2 linked regions of the Tamandua tetradactyla genome follow. Each later gene encodes a partner of the first gene's protein in a complex. Links are inferred from orthologs where the notes say so. Each region holds a gene or a part of one and is shown on either strand. Other genes may lie near its edges.

The links. Proteins that work in one complex are often made in the same cells at the same time.
Region 2: the proteins of GRM5 (region 1) and HOMER1 are in contact, whole or in part, in a crystal structure (PDB 1DDV), measured with the Rattus norvegicus proteins. The link is inferred for Tamandua tetradactyla from reciprocal best matches to the Homo sapiens genes GRM5 and HOMER1. Residues at the interface, in XP_006229721.1 of Rattus norvegicus: Thr1155, Pro1156, Pro1157, Phe1160; in NP_113895.1 of Rattus norvegicus: His12, Phe14, Trp24, Thr70, Ser71, Gln72, Lys73, Phe74, Gly89, Phe90.

The regions. Positions count from the first base shown.
Region 1 is NC_135334.1:55,144,649-55,155,791, reverse strand, and holds the start of GRM5 (metabotropic glutamate receptor 5), read right to left. Parts: upstream 4,257-11,143; coding exon 3,596-4,256; intron 1-3,595. UniProt on the Homo sapiens protein: G-protein coupled receptor for glutamate. Ligand binding causes a conformation change that triggers signaling via guanine nucleotide-binding proteins (G proteins) and modulates the activity of down-stream effectors.
Region 2 is NC_135347.1:52,071,100-52,081,936, forward strand, and holds the start of HOMER1 (homer protein homolog 1), read left to right. Parts: upstream 1-6,380; 5' UTR 6,381-6,397; intron 6,398-8,203; exon of another isoform or gene 8,204-8,871; 5' UTR 8,872-9,357; coding exon 9,358-9,362; intron 9,363-10,837. UniProt on the Homo sapiens protein: Postsynaptic density scaffolding protein. Binds and cross-links cytoplasmic regions of GRM1, GRM5, ITPR1, DNM3, RYR1, RYR2, SHANK1 and SHANK3.

The DNA of each region.
Region 1 (11,143 bases):
CTTTTCAAATACCTAAAGTCAGCATTCAGGTGCCTGCCATGTCTTTTCTTCTCTCTGCTAGAATCAGACCCCAAGGACATGATTACAAGTTTCATAACCATTCTGGACATTCACCTTTACAAAGATCGTTGTTGGTTGTATTTATATGTGATGCCCAACATTTAATTTAGCCCAGGTGTGGTCTGAGGAAGCTTGAGGAGAGCAAATTGTAGGAGGCCAGTCCTGGAGGAGATCTCTGAGAACATCCTTTCCTCTTTTTATATGACAAATGAAGGCAGAGATTGAAGTGCTGAATTTCAAGACCCAGCTTTGTAACTAACTATGAGAAAAGTAATGCCAAGTTACTTGACCTTTCTGTCTGTTTCCCCAAGTGTCAAATAAAGGAATTATATTAAATGCTTGCCTAAGACCCTTCCAGTGCTTACATTCTATAAAGCTAACGGTAGTTTGGGTATCTGAATTATTAACATGATCACTGCCCAGATTGCCTCAACTCTCAAAACCTTTCAACCCCAAGGGAAATATAATGAAATCTCTTTAAAAGTGTTCAGTAGAGCCTATGCTGATATTTCTTATCTTTCCAAACTAACTTTTACATTGTTGTCCTGATATAATTGCAAGTCATAGAAAAGGTGTGACGAGTAAACTATGCTCCCACTTTTTAGAAGTTGAACTGACAAAATGTACCATGAATCACATTAAAATCTTTCACCCAAAGCTTGATAGCTCCCACATTTTAAGTAAATCATTTATGGAAAAACATATCATAACTCAAAGCTGGTACCACATTGCAATATGTAGGGTAACCTGAAGTCAAAGTTTTAATGATATTACTTTACCAGTAAAATTTAATGACACATTTCTTTCCCCTTCAGCATCAGTGACATGTTTTTCTTCTAGAACAAATTAGCATTCCCATATCATTAGATGAAAGCAAGAAATTCAAGACACAGTGCAAACAAAAAAGGGAGTGGGGTGTGAACACCAATTTACAATTAATTAAGAAAGGCATTTTGGCACCTCATTTTTAAAAAGAATCAAAACTGTGAAAAATTACAATATTATGAATATTTATACATTCATAAATTATGAGGTAAGTATTATTCTAATATGAATTTACCCATTCAACAAATAGTCTTTGAGCACCTTTTATGCATGAGGCACCCAGATAGGCGCTGGAGATGTAGCGTTTCATCTAAACTCAGCAAAAATTTCGAAGTGTAAAAATTATTTAAATCGCCCCTTGACTGCAATATACATTGTTTTGTGTGTCCAATAATTAGCTCCCATAATGAAATTAAATTAGACCAAGGGCAGTAATTTAAGGACAGAATATACGCAAGTATCTGACTATTTAAAACATTCAAGCTTTAAGAAAACTATCAAATACCCATCCACAAGGGTACAGAAAAAGAATTATAAAGTTTTCCTTCTTGCCCTCAGCATTTATTCTGTTTTGATTCACTCTTAAATCTCAAGAATATTCATGTGTGATAATTAACATTTTGTTTTGATTTTGAAGTTTAAACACAGCAATAGAGTCTCATTTGGTGGGATGAGTTGGAATTTAAAATCACTGGAATGAATATGCTTATGCTGGACTCCATTTTGAAGTAAAAGCATAGATTTGACTGTCAAATTCCATTTCCTTCTAGAAATTTTCCACCATGACTCCCTTAAACACATAGCAGGAGATGATTAATTCCTCCCTCAATGCATTTGTAACTTTTTTCACCTTTAATTATGATTATGTGAGTAATAGCACATGCCTCATGTCCTTTACCAGATTGCGAGTTCCTTGAAGGAAGTTTAAGTATAAAGAATACAGCTGTATTTCATAGGACCTACCAGAGGGCCTTGCATAAACTTATGCTTATTAAGTATATAATGCATAAATATATCCTCAGGATGGGATTCTACTGGACTCTGTTAAATTATAACAGTGCACTGAATTAAAAGCCAATAGCATGAGTTCTACTTTTGGCTTTGAAATTGCAATTTGGATGAATTATTTAAATTCCTAAATTCTTTACATTTAAAAATAGATAAAGTATATGCACTATAACTGGCTTATTGCAACCATCAGGTGAAATAATGGCTTTTTCATAAAAAAAAATCTTAGCATTAGCAAAGAACTCAAAGTGCCCAAGTTCAACCACCTATCCATGCCCAAAATGTTTATAGATAAACATCCCTCTAAGTAAAGAAGCCACTTATACAGGAATATGCTCAAAAATAAAGAAGTCTCCAGCCAATGTAGAGGCCCATTTTATAGTTATAAAGCTCTGAATATAATCAACAAGAGTGAACGTATAAGGAAACTCATGATATCATGTCACTCTATAATGAAAATTTTGCTTTATCTGTTTGCTTGATTGGCTCCCAACCTCTGAAGCAGTCTCACTATGGTCATTTACTAATTTTCTAAAAAAATCAACCTCACATTTTACAAATTGTATTCTTTCAACCATATTGATTTTGTTATGGCAGAATTTTCTTTAATTCTTTCCTCACAATAATTCATGAGAGATAAAAAATGTTTTTAAGATTCTGTATTCTATAATGCTTAGTATATGCAGTTTGTTGTCCTAAAAAGAGTGCTGGGTAGTGAGAAAGACTTACTGTTTGGTTCATCTAACTTCTCTAAGTCAAACGAACCTCTTTTATTAAAATTAGGCAACAAAACCTGTCACTTGCAACCTTGGTAAAGAGCTAACAAACTCTGCAAACAAAAGCATTTTAAAAGCATTGTAAAAATACAAAGGACTGGTATTAATAACGATTATAACACCGTATTCATCTTTTCCCTCTTCAAAATGCATTCAACATAAAGAAGAAATGAATTTAAAAGCAAACTTATGTTTAATTATTAAAGTTATACTTCACAAACATGTTCTACACAACAATAAAATTAATTCATACTTATCCCCATTTGTAAAACAATCAAGCTTTTAAAAATTGAACCTGCATATACTCATTGCAGAATGACTGTAAGAATAGCATCACATTCTTACCAGATGAAATATATACTTTATTCAGCACATTTATTATTCAGAATGAATCTCAGTCTAAGAGCTATACCTGCCTTCCAAATCTTCTGCCAAGGAAGACAATAAAAAAATGTAGTGATTATATATATATTTAATATTTAATATTTAATATTCCAAATTGAAAAATTGTTGTAAGTAAACGGATAATTTTCTGTAACAGGTTACTTGGTCTAGAACTAGCTGCAGTTGGAGTAATTTTAAAGTGGTAAAAACATTAGATGTTTAATGAAGAAGTAGAAAACTGAAAAACCTCTAGTAATAAATAGCAAAAGGCACCATTATAGCAAATGTACAAATAATGTAACATGCATTCCAAAAAGTTTCTCCATTTTTACTAAATCATGGTCACACTAACCCTCATATTGGCCCCAATCTGTCTTTCTAGACAGCTGGCATCCAGACCCTTCTCAGTAATAGAACTGATAAAATGGGGGCAACTCAAAGAATACAAAATAACAAGGATGTTTTAGTCTTATAAAATATGAAATTTTAACTGGTAATCTTTTGAGTCCATAATTAAGAAAATAAATGCAAAGGAAACTTACCTTCAGTGTGCACAGCTGAAACATAGGTCCAATTGTATCTCTTCACTATGTCCACCATGGCCCGTGCTTGTTGGGCATCTGAAGGCACAACCCTCATGAAGTACTTGAACAATGTCTTATCACTTAGATCCATGCTTGTTGCTGAGTAAGCAATCTGAGGTATGTTGAAAAGTTGGAGCAAATTCTGGACCTGAATGGCCACAGAACTGGAGCCAGGTCCAATGACCCCCACAATGGGCTTCTTGGAACGGAAGGAAGAGGAAGAGCCATCAACACAGCGCACCAAGCCCTCTTCCTCTTCTGAAGAAATGAGGGAGTCTCTTATGAACTCAATGCTCTGCTCTAGGGCTACAGCTGAATGCCAGCAGGAATCCCTTATCTCACAGCCCAACGTGATGTTGGGCAAGAGCGTGGGGTCTGAGTTGATCCTCTCCAGGGTATGCAGCATGGCCTCCACTCTCTGAATGCCATACTGTTCACGGACTGCCCCACACTTCCTCTCATGAACTTTGTCCACAGTGGGCTGATGGTGGACAGAAAAGAGAGCTCCAATAATGATGTCTCCTGGCATGTGGGCCACCACCCTCCTTTCACTGGACTGTGCACTCCCACGGACATCTTCTTTCAAAAGCAGGACTGTCAGAATCAACAGAAGGACCATTTTAGGAAAGGGGTTCAAGCTAATAAAGACAGCATGGTGAGCAAAATTAGGAGAGTTCTGATGGATAAAATCAAACAATGTCTTATGTTGAGTGGCAAGCCAGGGAATTAGCCAGAAATTTAGATGTGCTCTCTAAAGGACTACAATGTCCCCAAGTACAATTTAGTTAGATGCATCCATGTGATCATGATCTTCAAAACCTGAAAGAGAAAAATAGCATAGGTTTTTAATAACAAAAGTGCAATTAGTTTAGGTAAGCTTTAATTGCATGTGCTAGTGGAGAAAAAGAGGACTTTGATGAAGTAGCTAACCTAAAAGAAAAAAAGCATCAAAAAATCTTTCTGACTCTCCCTTGTCTCCTTTGTGATTTGATGAAGCAGCTAAGGTAGCTTTCTTTTTCCTTTATTAGAGAAGTTGTGAGTTTATAGAACAATCATGCATAAAACATAGGAACTCCATATGCCAATTCACCACCAACACCTTGCATTGCTGTGGAATATTTGTTACAACTGATGATAACACATTTTTACAACTGTATTATTAATTAAAGTCCATAGTTTAAATTAGGGTTCACTGTTTGTATACTGTAGTTTCACAGATTTTTAAAAGAATTCAGTTATCGTATATACATTCTAACATTTCCCCTTCTAATCATGCGCATATATATTTTTTAGTGCTGTTATGGCATGGCTTCTTGACCCTGCCTGGCTTGGATTAATATTTTTATTTGTTCATACAGAGTACCCAGAACCAAAACTTCTGTGTAGCAGGTAAAACTTGAGTATTAGGCAGAAGTGAGAGTATTCTTGAAGCAAAGTTATGTCATGATCAGAAAATTTTAGGGAATATATGTTCCAAAACATTAAACCTTGGAGGGCTCTGGGTTATGATAGTTTTGGTTTGCTTTAAATTTCAATATAGGTTTTATTTCAAAGTTCTCAGTATTGAGAAAATATTACTTATGCAATTAAAAACTAAAGTTACCAATTTTAAAAGCTTAAGTACTCCCTCCATGAACACAATGTAAAGCAGATTGAAAAATGTATCCAGGAAGGAATAAGCATTTTTGTATTTTTTATATAAAAGAAAGTGAGTGCAGTTGGATATTTCCAAATTAAATAAACTGTAGGGAAGAAGGAGGAGGTTTGAGATATTGCAAAGAAAAATGCTCTCCTAATAGGCCACAAAGCATAATGAAATGAGCATGAATTTTTGTAGAAAAGAACACTCAGGCTCAAGTTCTGGTATTGAAGAGATATTGGTAAATTGTTTAACCTCTCAGTATCTGAGTTTCCTCATTTCAAAGTGGGAATAACATGTGCTAGGTCTCCCTTACGGGAATCAATATAAGATATCAATTATGTAAATGCTTTGTAAATTAAATAGTGATATATGTATTCAAGACATGATCTTTTTTGTTATTAAATTTTCAAGGGCATTTTGTGGCTTGGTGGTGAGGACACAAAATTCTCTGGCAATCCACTAGGTCCTCCAGAGAGTCTTCAAAATAATTACAAAGTTTTGTAATAAAATTTATAGTAATCAGTTCTCTAGCCCTGATTCAGAAAAAAATTCCACATTGAGAAGGCTCAAAAAGCTGGAAGGATGTAGTTTGAAGCTATCTCTTCAAGTAGAAACTTGGTACAGCTAGCAATACAGTCACCTGTTTCTGTTTAAATCCTGGGGGAAAAAAGGTGATTTTGTCCCAAATCGGTTATAGAAAATTCTAGCATAATGATTTTGGTTTTAAAAGATTGTATAATATACTTTTTTTTCGGATGTTATTATTTCCACCAGCAGAGACTCAAATTGTTTTCAAGTGACTAATTCCCAATACACCATCTCTCAAAAAACAGGTGATATTTCTTCAGGAACTTATGTAAAAATTATGACGCCTCTTAAAAAATATTAATGTTTTTCAAAACTCATCAGGTTTTAGGTCTGCAAAAATTCAGTTCAGATACAAAATGAGTATAGCCTGAATCCCATTTCTAATCACTCCTAACCCCACTTTCACTCTTTCTTCCTACTGTTTCCTATGGCAACAGAGAAGACTATTCCTGTATAGTACCAAACACTAAAATTTATAAAGCTCATTCATTCTAGTGTTTTGCCTTAAGAAAGGAAGGAAGTTCTGATACATGCAACGACATAGATGAACCTTGAGGATATAATGTGGAGTGAAGTAGGCCAGACACAAAAGGACAACTACTGTATGAGATCACTGATATGAAATAATTAGAGTACAAATTAGCAGGGGCCAGGGTGGGACAGGAAATGGGGACTTAATGCTTAATTGGAGCAGAGCTTCTGTTCGACTTCATGGCTAAGTTTTGGTGGTGATGATAGCACAATATTCAAATGTAATTAGTAGCACTGAATTCTACATTTGAATGTATTTAAAAGGGGAAATTTTAGTTTGTATATATGCTACTAGAATAAAAAATTTACAAAGCAGCCCATAGGATTACACAACATAGACCATGAACTCTCATGTAAACTATGAACTACAGTTAACAGTATAATTATAATAATATTTTTCATCAATTGCTACAAGCATACCACACTAATGCAGAGTATTAATAATAGGAAATTTTGCATGTTGGAAAGAGGGCATCTACAAGAACTCTGTATTTCCTGCATATCTTTTTTTTTTTAACTATAACTCCTCTAAAAAAATAAATTTAAAAAAACCCATTCAAATAACTGGATATTCCCAAATAACTAGAATTTTGATAATTTAAAATATTCCTATATGGCAAAAGGGAAGGGAACAAAGACTGATATTAATGTTCTCATTGGGAAATTTTCTGAATGTTCTCAGGCCTGGCTTTCACTTTCCGTAAACCAAAGACTGGTGATCAATGCTTATTCTCATGGTCATGTGAATTTGAAAGGTCTGAAATAAAAGGAATCATAATTCCTCATTAAATTCAGAATATAGTGAGCAAACTCAGTGAAAAACAGAGCTCATTTTTATTATGTAAGAGCACCAAAGTGATATGAGATGTACAATATTGAGACACAGTATGCACATTAAAATAAGCAGAGATTGTCTTACTATAATAGACTAAAAGTTAATTAATTAATTCATATGCAAATATCTATTTGAGTGAGAGAGACTAATGTAACAAAGAAGCACAATAATATTGTTATTTGATAACAATTGTTAATTCTGGTCATTATCTGTCACTGAACACCCATTTTACACCAGGCATTTATTCATTTTCTCAATGGATGTTTATGGCATACCTATGCTATAACAAACTTCTTGTCAAATTGAGGATTCAACTGCGAACAGGGTGTGTGTGCTCCCTATCCTTGCAGGTCTTACAGATTAGGAGGGGGAAGAGAAATAATAATAAAATAAGCAAATGATTACACTCCTTGAACTGGAATGAATTAACTGAAAAAGAATAGTATTATGATACCAACTTAGAAAGAATGGATAAAATAAAGCTACTCTAAAAGGTGATGTTAGTGAGAATTGATGAATGCAAAGAACAATGAAAAGAAGACTGAAAATAATGGGAAGTATGAAAAGAAGCCAGTCACCTGAAAAATGAGGCTATTAGAGCACAATAACAAAAGGAATGGTGGTCCAAGATGAGATTGGAGAGGTAAGAAAGGGCCAAGCTATATAGAATCTTGTAGGCTCAAAAAGAATTTAGATGTTAAAGTGCAAATGAAATCCATTGAGGACAGGTAAGGAAATGGTTGACACAATTGAATATAGAATTAGAAAAGATAATTCTGACTGCTCTTTATTCTGGATAAATGGATTAAAGAAATCTGATTGGGAGACTATTGTAATAATCTAGGTTAGTAATGATACTGGCTTGGCTGTGATGGAAGTGATGGATATGGAGAGAAATGGACACAATCATATCTAATTTGCCAGTAGAATCAACTGGCCTTGCTGACAACTTGAATATGGATCATAAAGTAAAGAGGAATCAGGATCTACTCCCAGGTTTTTAATCTGAGTAATTAGTGCATTTTGCTACCATTAACATAGGTACAGAAATAGATGGGATAAAAGAAAAATGGATGAGTTTCTTTTAAACATGTTAAATGTCAGATGCTTTTGAGGCACCCAGGTACAGGTAACAAGCAGGAACACAAGTACATAAGGCCGGAGATTAGAAGAGAATTTTGGTTTAGAGAGGTAAACAGAGAGTCAACAATATGTAAAATCTTTGGATGAATGCAATCACCTGGGGAGCAAGTATACCTTGAAAAAATGTGGAGCTGAGCAGTAAGCCCCACTGAGTGATCAAGTTGTAGGTAAGGCAGCTAGGGGCTGAGGCGACCCAGAAATTCAGGACAAAAAGCAAGAGCAAAATGTGAGGGAAGCCAAAAGAGAATGTTCTGGACACTTTATATTCACATACATACACAGAGATTTCACTTTGCAGAGAATACATCAAGTTACCCTGGAGGGCATTATAGTCTGTTTTTTGTACCCTGAAAATGTGTGATTCAATTGCCGTGTCTGTATAATTCTTTGTGTGTTTGCATATAAGTGTGTGATCTGTGTGTCGATAATCCTTATAACAATCCTGACAGGTAGGTATTTTATTACCTCTGTTTTACAGATGGTATAACAGGTTTTGATAAACTAGCCGACCACTTAGAAAATGATGAGCTATATTTCAGGTTGATGTCTATTGATTCCATTACATGCCCCCTCATCACTCATTCCTGCAGATGTGGTATGCCCAAAGTCCATAAAAATGGAAGGGGCTGTGAAACATCAGAATGGACTCTTACAAGAGTTTGCCTTGCAAACTAGGGGGTGAAGAGCATTCCAGGAAAAGAAAAGATAATTCAGCATGCAAAAAATGCAAGTGTGTATTATTATCCAGTACAAATATATTTACATTTCTCTGTTATCCACTATAAAAGTTGATTGCACAATGGCTATCATGAGCTACAGTGCTTAGATGCCTGAAAAGGACCCTTTAAATCATGACATAGAAATGTGCCATAATTGTGCTTCAATTTAGTTTTTCATATGATTAAACAAAAACCAACTCATGTACTCCCAAAATATGACAAATTAACAGAACATAAATTCCAACTAGATCATAAAGGGGTATATAAGCTCTATCAACATCATCCATCTGTTTAATAAATGCTTATCAAATGAAGCATTCTACACCAAGCACTCTACAAGCCTAAAAATTCAGTCATGGACAAAATAGACATAAAACCATGCACTTATGGAATATATAATCAAAGAGGGGCTAGTCAGACAACAGACAGAATAAGTAGGTAAAGTATTGTATGCTAGACAATGATAAGGGCTAAAGAAAAATATAAGGCAGGGAGGTTGAAAGAAAGTGTCAGAGATATGACAACTTTTGAACAACGTGGTCAAAGAAGGATAAACAGGAAATATAACAATTGAGTAAATACCTGAAGAAAGTAAGGGAACGAGTCAAGAAAATATCTACAAAAAGAACACTCTAGGTAAAGGTAAAAGCAAATATAAAGTCTCCAAGGCAGAAGAGTTGAGGCCTGGAGCAAGGTTGTATTCACTCTGTTTGAACTTTGAAAAGACTTTGGCTTTAACATTGCATGAGATACTTAACCCTGAATGGTTTTCAAAAGAGTAGGGACAAAATCTGACCCACATATTAAGAAAAGGACACAAAGATAGAACCATTGAGAACAGTTAGGGATGAACTGCCCTAATTCTGGTGGGAGATGGCAGTATAGGTACTAGGAAGTGGTAGGGAATCTGTATATATTTCCGAAGTACAGTGAAAGTGTTCTCCCTTAGATCTGTCATGAGTTGTGAGGGAAAGAGAGGAGTTAATGAAAATACTCATTATGTTCAAGTTTTCAACCTATCAAATAAAGGGACAGTGGCACATTGACTGAGGTGGAGAAGATTATAGAGGAGCAGGTTTGGATGGGAATAACAGCAATTCAGTTCAGATATACAAAGTTTGTCATGCTTATTAGACATTCAAGAAAAGATGTTGAATAAGCAGTTGGACATAAGAGGCTGAATTTCTGGAAAGGACTGGATAGGAAATACAAACATGGTAGATATCAGTATATCCCATCCTTTTTTGTAAACCATGAGGCTGGATGAAATCACCTAGGTAATGGAAAAGAATAGAGACTAGCTCCCAAGACAGAGCCCCAGTGAATTCCAGTGCTTAAATTCCTAGGGACAAGGGGAAACCAGCAAAAGAGACCATGAAATTTTGGAAACAGAAACTTTCCCTCGGAAAGACTGGGTATGAAATGTGAAGTGCTCCCATTATATTAAGCGAAAATAAAAAGCAGGTATGATTTGATTTTTACATGAAACATCCTTTGTCAGTGGTTATGCATGTGCAAACACCAGGATCATGCAGACTAGCATATTAATAAGGGTATCCTCTGGATGGTGGAAACATGGGTAATTTTTTGTTTTATTTTTGTGTTTGCTTTTACATGTGTTTTCTACTTTTCTGAATTTACTAGATATCTTTTTTTTTTTTTTTTTAATGTGGGACTGGGAGATCTGCCTCCTGACTTTCTTCCCCAGTCTGCCTTGTGGTCTTATCTCATCTCCATCTGTTCCTCTCTGGGAACCTGCAAGTCAAGTTAAATTTATCTCTCCTCCAGGTATACACCTCCATGCTCCAGTGGCTTTGCTCCTGCTGCTTCTGATCCCTGATAGGGCCCTGTTTCAATGGTCTTTATGGCGGAGTTGTTAAGAGCATTGGGCTTGAAGTCAGGTTAGCCACCATTTGTTGGCTGTGTGCCCTTGGAATCCTAATCTTTCTAAGCCTCGGGCCTTTATTGGCAAATTGGAATTAGAATACCTACCTCCTAGAGTTTTAATGAGGACTAAATTAGATAATATGTTTTTTAAAGAAAACAGT
Region 2 (10,837 bases), on another chromosome or scaffold:
AGCCATTGCCCCTTCTTCCACATTGAGAGCTCTCTAATTTTGTTCACCCACAATGTGCAGACACAAAGAACCAAACTACTATTTGTATAAGGCAATCATGAAAATTCTATTACAAGCTGCATGCAACCCAGTTCAGGTCAATGAGACACAAGGGGGAAATTTCTGGGGGCCTCTTGGGAGTTTCCCTCCCTGTAGAGAGAGGTATAAAGGAGAAAACTTTTTAGTGTCCTTCCCTCTGTTTGTGAGGATGTGATGCCTGGAAATACAATAATCTTCTAACAACCATGAGAGAACAGGTCAGCTTTTAAGGGCAACACATGAAGATGGCAAAGTGAAAGGATGGAGAGAGCCTGAACGGGATGGCCCCCTGGATCTTGCAAACCAACCGTATGATCAACCACCCTCAGACTTCTTCTTTTTTTTTTTTTTTTTTTTTTTTGAGAGGGAGGAAGGGAAGGAAAGACAGAGAGAAGGAAGGAAGGAAGGAAGAACGGGAAACATCTTTAAACATTTTCTTGTTTTATTGTATTTTGTTTGTTTGTTTGTTTTTTACATGGGCTGGGGCCGGGAATCGAACCGAGGTCCTCCGGCATGGCAGGCAAGCACTTTGCCCGCTGAGCCACCGCGGCCCGCCCAACGCTTCAGACTTCTTCTTAAGGAAATAAACAAAAAACAATCTCTCCCTTAACTTAAGTCACCATTAGCTGGGGTTTCTATTACTGTTGATGAAACACCGACTTGTATACCAGCAACTGTAGGGGAAAATGGCAGGTGAGGTAAGAGAGGTAGGCAGGGGCCAGATCATGCAGTGCCTCTTAGGCCACGCCATGGAGTTTGGATTTTATTTTTTTTTAATTTTTAAAAATTTTCTTTTCTTTTTGGAGTTTGGATTTTATTCTATATGTAAAGAATTTTAGCAGACAACCCAAACGTGTGCTTGTCCACATACACACACAGATAAAACATAACTCATTATTAAAATAACAGAATAGATATTGACTGAAGATATATTTACCATTTCCATTTTTATTTTTATAGAAATTACTATTTAGAACCAGACTGAAAGAAATGAAAAGCCTCATGAATAACTCTTGCAATCGTTTGGCTAAAAACCCCAAATGTTTTCTTTCTGACCACTTTTACTTGGAAGAACCTTTAATACCTTATACTTGGAAGACACTTTAATGTATTCTAGGTATTGCATCTACCTGTTTTAGCCATATCAGTCGTTACCAATTATGTTCAGCTACTGAGTTTACAATTACCATCTTAAACGGATCTCTGCCTTTGAAATAGCCCCACATTTCTGCTTCGAATCTTCTCTCTTTAAAGAGAAGTCAACTTTGCTTCATAAGCGTGGCTGCCCTAAATGCCTTGGTGTTGTTTTTCACCTAGCTGGCACCAAAAGAATCATAAAATAAGGTAGCTCATTTGAAACATTTTTCTTACGGTTGTCCTGTTCCTCCATTCAGGAAAAAGATTACTGGTTACCATGGCAATCAGCTTCACAGCATTCCATTCTAAGTAACTGCATAGGTACAGCACAAGCTTTACTCCACATTCTTGGACTGGTAGCTCTCTGCAGATATGCATCTTTTTCAAGGCACCATATCCCTGTCTCTTCTGAATGCCTTGAAATTTTGCATTTTTAGTTGTACAATGATCTCCTCATGGCACCTAACTAAAATTTTTCTGGTATGTTCTTTTACAAGTCCAGTGTCATACTTGTATCCCTTTCATCATATTCTGCAAACAACGAGTTTGCAGTCATTATCAGAGTAGAAGGTAACTGTTTGGAATCATTTCCCATGCGCTCTATGTCATATCTTTCCTGTGATAATTCTCTAACTTCCCTCTCCCTTGCACCTCCAACCACTCAGAAAATAGTGCACGCAGAGGAGTAAAAATTGTCCTCAAGCAATTGTCTCAGTGAGGCCAAACATATTCCCACTCTTGAGGCTATTAATTAACCTGCTTCTGTTTAAACAAGCAACACAACTCAATGATACCCAGTATCTGTTATATTGTGGGGGAGAGGGGATGACTGGAAAATTTTTATATAATGCTTTCATTCTTATTGCTTTTAGTTGGTTATTTAGTTTCTTTATAACTATATGATAGAAACTAGCAATCTTGAGCATTTTTTATTATAGAGAGATATCTTTTTACCTATTACTACATTTGAAGTGATAGTAGTATTTTGCCAATTAAAAAGATTTAGGGAGCTTGAAAGGGGGTTGATATTATCAGTTAGATAATTCAAAATAAAATTTGGCTTTTACTCTCTTGCGAAGTTTTTCTGACCTAGATCTCTTTTCATTGAAAAATATCTATCTCCTGACCAATCTATGAACACCCCATTGAAGACTGCCATTTCCTATTAAGGGGATGGAAGTAAACTCTGTAACTAAAACAGATGCCTTCGCCCACAGATTCTAAAATCAGAGGGTATTCATAAACCTCTCCACAAATTTCCAGAGCATAAGTGGGAAACAGGAACTGTTAAGAATTCGAAACTCTACTAATGTACTTTTTGCCTCTTCCGGTAAAAGAAAATAAATTACTTTCTAGGAAGTTCACTACTTTAAAAACACACAAAGAAATTAGGGTTGGAAATTCCTGATTGGAATTTGGGTTACATCAGCCTATTTTAGGAGAAAAGATATGTATTTTTAGATGGAAAACTATACAATGGTTCTCTGATTCCTGTCAAAATTGTATTGGAAATCATTTCAAGGGGGGAGAAGAAGAACTTACCCTAGGATTATTTATTTTCTTTCTGAGAAGACATTCCATATTACATAAAAAGTTTCATTTATTCCTTTGGGTACGTGGATATAAGCATTCCCTGATATATTCATCCCGCACAAGCTAGAAATAAAAATTAACCAATTATAGGTAGAATTTTCTAGAATTGAGCAAAGGCCAAAGTTAAATAATCACATATACTTTGGGTAATTATATCACAGAGCATCATTAGATTTATGTAGAAAAAGTTACTGTCAATTTTCAATTGACAAAAGAGCAGCTGAGAAGGAACCATGCAGCTTGAAAGAGTGGAAACTCTAATGAAGGGTCAGCGTTCTAAAGGCAGGGAGGCAGCCGACATTCTGTTTTGACAGCTAGGTAAAGATGAGGGAAAGAAAAGATTGTAAAACACAGGAAGCTGTGATGAAAGGGCAGAATGAAGTGTTTGAAAAACGGTAATGTGAGAACTTTTATTAACATGGAAGAAAAGAGCCGGAAAACAATTGAGTTCAGATAGAAAACAGTTTGTAGAGAAATTTTAGTTAATTTGTTTTTTAATTTGGAAGGGTCCAGAGATGACATTATTTGAAAAATGACAGTTTTATTGTTTTAATATTTTATACAGAAGTAGGAAGCTCCATTTGCCTGAAATATGTTATTACAAGTTTCTATTAATATGATAATAATATATATATTAGACAAATTGGCAAGAAGGGATTTGATTTTGATTAACCTTTAGTTATAACCTTTTAACATTTTTACTCACTAGCTTAAACATTTCAAACTCGAAGCAAATTCTGAAATCAATGCAGGATCATGATTTTATTATGTGAAGATGATCAGAAAGCCTGATTTAGTTGTAAATTGGTCCTAGATTTTTTTTTCTTTTTTTGCCAGTATCCTTTAATCTTGGGTTCTTAAGTTGAGGAAGAAAATTTAAATGCAGAAAGCTGCAAACTAATGTTCAGTAATTAGGAATCATATGAATAGTTAAATATTAAAACATTTTAAAAAGTCATACATGGTATGAATTCTATAAAGTTTTAGCTTCTTTTGTTTAAACTACATTGATATTGATTTGTAACTACCCTAATAATACTTTATAGGTTGGTAATCTTATGTCCTAGATGTTCCGGGTCACTTCAGATTTCAAATATTTTTATTATTTTAAATCATGTGTCCTGATTTGGTTTGGAAAACATGGTTGCTGAATTATAGACTAACTTTATATGTAATAGCTATTAGCAGTATGTAGTTACTCTATTTCTTGGCCATGATTATCGAGTTAACTTGAATGAAAATTTCAACATTAAAAAAAAATCTTCCTAATAAGAAGCTGTGTTAAAATAATGGAGGTATTTAAACACTATAGTTATTTACAGTTTAAAAAACATTCATTCAAAACAGTGTGGTACTGATATGAGGATTGACATAGAGAACAATGGAACAGAACTGGGATTCCATCTATGGCCAACTGACTTTTTTTTTTTTTTCAGTTAAATAATTTGTTAGATATGCTGCCTCACTTTTTAAAAGCATTTTTTTTATTGTGAAATATAACAAAAATACAAAAAAGCAACACATTTCAAAGTACATTTTAATAAGAAGTTATAGAACAGATTTCAAAGTTTGATATGGGCTGCAGTTCCACAATTTCAGGTTTTTCCTTTTGGCTGCTCCATGACACTGGAGACTAAAAAGAAATAGCAATATAATGATTCAGTAGTCATAATTATTTGTTAAATCTTAACTTCTCTGTTATATCTCCTCCTTCTCCTTTGATGCTTCTCCTAATCTTTAGGAATATTTGGGTTATGCCCATTCTAACTTTTTTCATGTTGAAAAGGGGTGTCAACAACATGAGATAGTGAGACGGAACTGGTTGATGTTCTTGGAGAGAATGGTACCTCTGGCTTTCAGGAGTTATCTGGCCTAGGAACCATCTGGAGGTTTTAGATTTCTGAAAAGTAAACTTAGCAAATACAACTTTTGTAGGATCTCAAGTAGAGCCCTGGCTGATTTTTAGGGCTAAAAGGAATGATGTTGGTTGGGGTTTTGACCAGTTGATTTCTTAACAAGGGTGCGAAGTCTTCTCAATAGGGAAAGAATGGACTCTTAAAAATGGTGCTTGTGAAACTGGATTTCTGCATGCAAAAGAATGAAACTGGACCCCTACCTCACACCATATAAAAAAATTAACTCAAAATGGAATAACAACCCAAATAGAAGTGCTAAAACCATAAAATTTTTAGAAGAAAACACAGAAGGAATTCTCAATGACCTTGGATTTGGCAACAGATTCTTAGATATGACACCAAAAACACAAGCAATAAAGAACAAACAGATAAATTGGACTTCATCAAAATCGAAAACTTTTGTGCATCAAAAGACATTAGCAAGAAAATGAGAAGATAATGGGAGAAAATAGTTGCAAATCATATATCTGACAAGGGTTTTATATCCAGAATACATAAAATACTCCTACAACTCAACAACAGAAACACAAACAACCCAATTTTAAAAATGGGCAAAGGACCTGAATAGACATTTCTCCAAAGAAGACATACAAATGGCTGTGAAGATACTCATCATTAGTCACTAAGGAAAGCAAATAAAAACCACAATGAGGCTTTCAGCCTCTAACTTGGAGGAGGCCAAGGTGCAACTTTGGTTGGCATCCAGGTTCATCTAACAGGCTACCTCCATTTTGCCACCCAAGTTCAAGCCACAATGAGATCAAAGTTGTTGACTTCAGGCGCATTGGTAGGGAGGTCAGCGCCATGTCTGCTCTGGCCCCAAAGATCAACCCTTTGTTTCTGTCTTCAAAAAAGGTTGGTGATAGTTCTAAGAAGTACAGTGAAACTGACCACTTGGAAAAGAATGGCTCAGATTGAGCTGGTATCTTCTGCTTCTGCCCTGATCATCAAACCTCAAGGAACCATTCAGTATTAGAAAGAAGCAAAAAACTCTAAGCACAGTGGAAATACCACTTCTAATAAGATTGTAAGCCTTGCCCAACAGATGCAGCACCAATCTTTAGCCAGAGAACTCTCTGGACCATTAAAGAGATTCTGGGAACTGTCCATTCTGTGGGCTGCAGTGTCCATGTCCACTATCTCATGACATCATAGATGACATCAACAGTGGTGCAGTGGAATGTGGAGCCAGAAAGAACTACAATGAAAAATATTTTAATAAGAGATAATTTGACAGCCAAAATACAAACAAACAAAAAAACCATAATGAGATACTCCCCACACTCACTAGGATGACTACTATTTTTTTCAAATGTGTATTGCTAGCGGGAATGTAAAACAGTGCAGCCATTGTGGAAAACAATTTGATGGTTCCTCAAAAAGTTAAACCTAGAATTACCATATTACTTGGTAGTTCCGCTTTCAGGTATATACCCAAAAGGGGTGAAGACAGGGACTCAAATAGATCCTTGTATGCCAACCTTCATAGCAATATTATTCAAAATAGCCAAAAATGGGAAACAATGCACATTTCCATCATCAGATGAATGGATAAACAACATGTGGTCACATACTATGGAATATTATTCAGTCATAAAAGGAATGAAGCACTGATATATGCTACATGGAAGAACCTAGAAAACATTAAGCTAAGTGAGCAGACAGACACAAAGGTAAATATTGTATGATTCCACTTATACTAAATATCTGAATAAGGAAAGTTGCAGAAGCAGATTAGAGGTGGGGGAGAAGAGTGGCAGGGGAGGGAGATATGGGGTGTTATTTCTTAATGGGTACAGAGATTTTGTTTGGGGTGATGAAAAAGTTGTGGCAATGGATAGTGGTGATGGCTGCACAACACTGTGAGTGGAGTTAATGTCACTAAACCGTACACTTAAAATAATAAATTTTATGTTATATATATATTCATATGCATACACATATATATATAACCACAATAAATATTTTGATAAGTTATGGACCAAACACACATACAGCTTGTGAGTAGATGGTTACTCACCTTTGTCATATAGGAATGTGAAACAACATATTTTAGAGATGTTGTAATTATATATTATATGGTCAAAACTATAGATAACAAAATAATCAATGTGCTCTTATTAAAAAAGGATTTGGTTGTCTTTCTTATAACTTCCCAAAACCAGAAATATGCTCTTGGTAAAGTGGAACCTAGAGGGTACACTGGAACTTGCTATGTATATGATGAAAATTATGTGAATGAGCTCTCTTACTGATGAATTACTATAATGATGAATTACTATCATTTATAACATTTTAAGAATTGTTTATGGTCCAGCTCTTGATTCTTTCGTGTTTAGGTAACCACTAAGTGGGGAGGGAGTAGAGTCTACTATGTCCCGATGTGCATTTAATAAATCTTTAAATATTAAGGTGATTTACCCAAATCATGGAAGTGTATACACCACTAGTGATCAGGCTCTCCCTCCCACATTTCCCTACGGGTTGGGACGTGTGAAGCCGGGGGATGCTGCGGCAACAGGGTGGTGGGAGTGTAAAATAGGATATCACCCACTTGACACTTCAGCACTGTTGCTATGAATGATTCACTTGGGTTTGGCACATTCATTGCAAGAAAATCTCCTCCTCCCGCCGCTTCCTTCTCCGAGCTTCTCTCAAGTTGTCTCCGGTGCTCTGGCCTTTATGGAGCAGCCAGAGCAGGTGGGCACAGAGGAGTTCACCAAGTCCTCCTCCCCTGCTCCTTCCCTAATTTAGCAGTACTTCCGGCCGCGTGACATCATCCCCCGCACCCCGGTGACGAGAGCGGCGGGTGACGCGCGTGCGGAGCGAAGCGCGCTGACGTTGCTATTTAAAGGGCCTCCTGCGGGAGGATGGAGACACAGCGCGAGCACCTGGTGTGGGCAGCGGAGGTGCCCGTGGCAGCCGGTAGTGGGGCCAGGAGCGAGCCGAGGAGCAGAGCGCGTGGCCTGCCCGCCGCCGGCCACTAGGGAAGGGGAAAGGAAGGCAGGAAGGACAGACTGACGGACGGAATTGCCAACCGGCCTGTCTAGCTTCCCATAAAGGCCGCCTCGGCCCCTGGCCACCAGGCTCCCGCTCTCCGCTGGGCCCCAGCGGGCCCTCGCGACGGGTTAGCGTCCCGCCGCAGTTCCTCGGCGGCCGTCTCCCGGCTCGTCCCGAGCGCAGGGGGAGGGCCCGCTCTCGTCCGCTCTCTCCCCGCCCCTTCTCCGCCCCCAGCAGCCTGCCTCGCCGCCGCGCCCGCCTCACGCCGGCGGCGCAGACCTGGGAAGCGGCGCTCTTCGCCCAAAGAGCCGGCCGAGGAGGCGGAGGCAGCGGCGGGTCTGGGGCCGCCCGGACGGGCGCTGCTCTGCGGAGCGGGAGCTGGAGGCCGGCGGAGACGGGCGCTGATGGAAGCGTGAGGAGGCGGCGGCGGGGCCCGGGGAACGTGAGGCGGCGCGCGGCGGCGGCACGGAGCCCGAGCGGCGAGGCTGTGAGGTGCGGGCGCCCGAGCGGCAGCTCTCCGGAGGCTGCGAGCTTCAGTCCCTCTCTTCGACGCGAGCTTAGCTGCCCGCCACAGCTCAGGCGGGCGCCCGCCTCCCCTCAGCCCTTCCGCCATCGCGCTCGGTTCTCCCGGAGCCGGGGGCCGGGGGCCGGAGGAAGCGTGGGGCTCGGCTTTCCGATTCATTCATTCTCTGTCGACGCGAGCCGCAGACGCGCTGGGAGCCGAAGAGAGCAGGGAAGAGGGGGCAGCCGCGAATGAAGGGCCAGGCTCGAGCCGGGCTCCATTGTGCTTGGCGGCGGGGGGCGGGAAGGGGCTGAGGGAGGTGGGGTCACCCCCTCCCGCTGCTCCCCGGCGTGCGCTCTCCCCCAGCCTGCTGCCAGCCTGGAAATGGCTCCGTTTATTCTCCTCGGGAGAGTGAATCGATCCTGCCCGGTCTTTTCTTCCTCCTCTCCGCCTCCTTTCTGCTCCTAGTCTTAGGAAGGGAAAAATTTTAGAAGGACAGATTCCCATGTGGAGTGTTGTGCACGTCGCGAGCTGCCGGCTTTTGCACTTCGGGGAAGAGATTTTTGTATGTGTTTTTTTTTCTTTCTAATGCCAGCGCAGAGAGGCGATGGCATTGCGCTTTTAGAATTTTTATTTTTCCCGTAGGGATCTTTAAAGTGCACGTCGCGTTGGGTTTCACGCTCCACCCCCAGGGACCTGGTGTGGAGAAATTGGACCCGGCGGCCTCAGTAGCACCGAAGAGGCCGGGTTACCTGGCTCTCCCTGAGTGTCGAGGAGGGCACGAGCGAAATGACCAGCGAACTCAGGTTTAACTGGACTCGGTGAAGCTGGATTCCGCGTTTGCCTACGTATAAGCTCGTTCTGTGGAATAGAGTTGCCCGCTCTTTCCTCCGCGAAGCCTTTTAACTCGCATAAGCAAATGCCACCTCAGTGTGTTTGAACGTTTTGGTATTTACGAGAGAGAGAGCATCTTATCTAAGGGGACGGATTGAGTCGTCAGCCTCACGAAAGACCCCGGAAAAAGGATCTCGGGGGTGCAAAACAGCTGCGAAATAGCCGGCCGAGAAATTCCTTTGGAAGTTATTCCGTAGCCAAGAGCAGAAACTTCAGAGCAAGTTTTCATTTGGCAAAATGGGGTAAGGATTTTTGTGCTTCACACAACTTCGAATGTGTTTGTGCGTGTGTGTTAGTGAGGGTTGGTGCTGATTGTGTTTTGTGGTGGTCATGCACATTTGCCACCTGCCTTGCTAAGTTGGTTATATGTGTATATATATATTTAAATACAGGTGTTTAACCTTTTAACAGATTATTTTGTGTTCTTTTAGAGTGACACCGGGAGGTCATAGTTAAGGAGCGGTATGTATGTCCTTAGTAGCCTCAATATATTTTTTATCAGTAATGTTTAAGAAAACAGGGCATTCTGCTTGTTGCTGGTCAAACAGCTGCATCAGTTCGTAGTCAAAATTATGTTGGAGTTTTTTTTTTTTTTTTTTTTTTTTTTTTTTTTTTTGCCATTTGTCTTTCAAAAGCAAGTACTGCATTCTCGCAGTACTTTGGGAATTAGTCAGTTGCACAAAGGGAACAATCATAATCCAAAGTAATGAGTGGTTAAACTACAACACTTGAAATGATCCAGAGTAAATTGTTGCCCTCATTGTGCCCTCTGTTTTGCCCTTGGATAATCCAAAGCTAAGGTGTATGTAATTGATTTATTAGGACTATTACAGTGAAAATCTGTCTTCTTAATGCAATCTCAAGAGTGCCAGTACTCTCAGGAGATGAAAGCTTGAAAAGGAAAAAGCTTTCTGTTGAAGGAACTTGATCATTTTTCTGTTTTTTTTTTTTTTTTTTTTGCTTTTAAGCTTAGGTCAGCTTAGGTCTTCTGTTAGTGTTACTCTTAGATGGACACCTTCCTTCAGACCCAAAGCCTACCACTACCTACACTTTATTAAGTCTATTCATTCACATAGTACCTGATAAAATGTTGGTGACTTCTTATTTTAAGCCAGAAACGCATAATATTTTTTCTTTTGTTTTTTCTTTCCATAATGTTTTAATATAAGTAATGACCTACTCATTTCATTGACAGATTGTGGATGCTTTCCGTTAAAGAGGAACTTCCAGAATTTTCTGTTTTATGGTTGAACAAACACATGTAAACTGTAGTTGAGGGACGAATTTTGAAACGACAGACTCTGAAATTTCATAGTGACAGTTTAGAGGTATACACTCCCTGCTTGAAACTTGCTGAGAAAAGCTCTTGGTTAGTACTACCTTTTTCTGTTGAAATTGGAATTTGTTTATTTTAACAAGTTTGAAATTTCAGAACGCATGTTGTAGGAGCCCTTCCTCAGGAATTAATTTCCTCAGTGACAGTTGTTTTTTAAAACTTAAACGTCAAGTGATGAGAACATATGTAACTCGCGTGATTTGGTGTACTGCTGTGAGCAATTAAAATACCTCCTTCTGTTTCTAGTGTTGCTATTAGTAGCTTAGTGATCTGAGGCAAATTTCTTAACCTCTACCTGGACTCTGTTTTCTTAACTGTAAAATGAAGAACCTAGATAGGTTTTAGAGATTTTTCCAACTTGTAACAATTATCGTTTTTCTC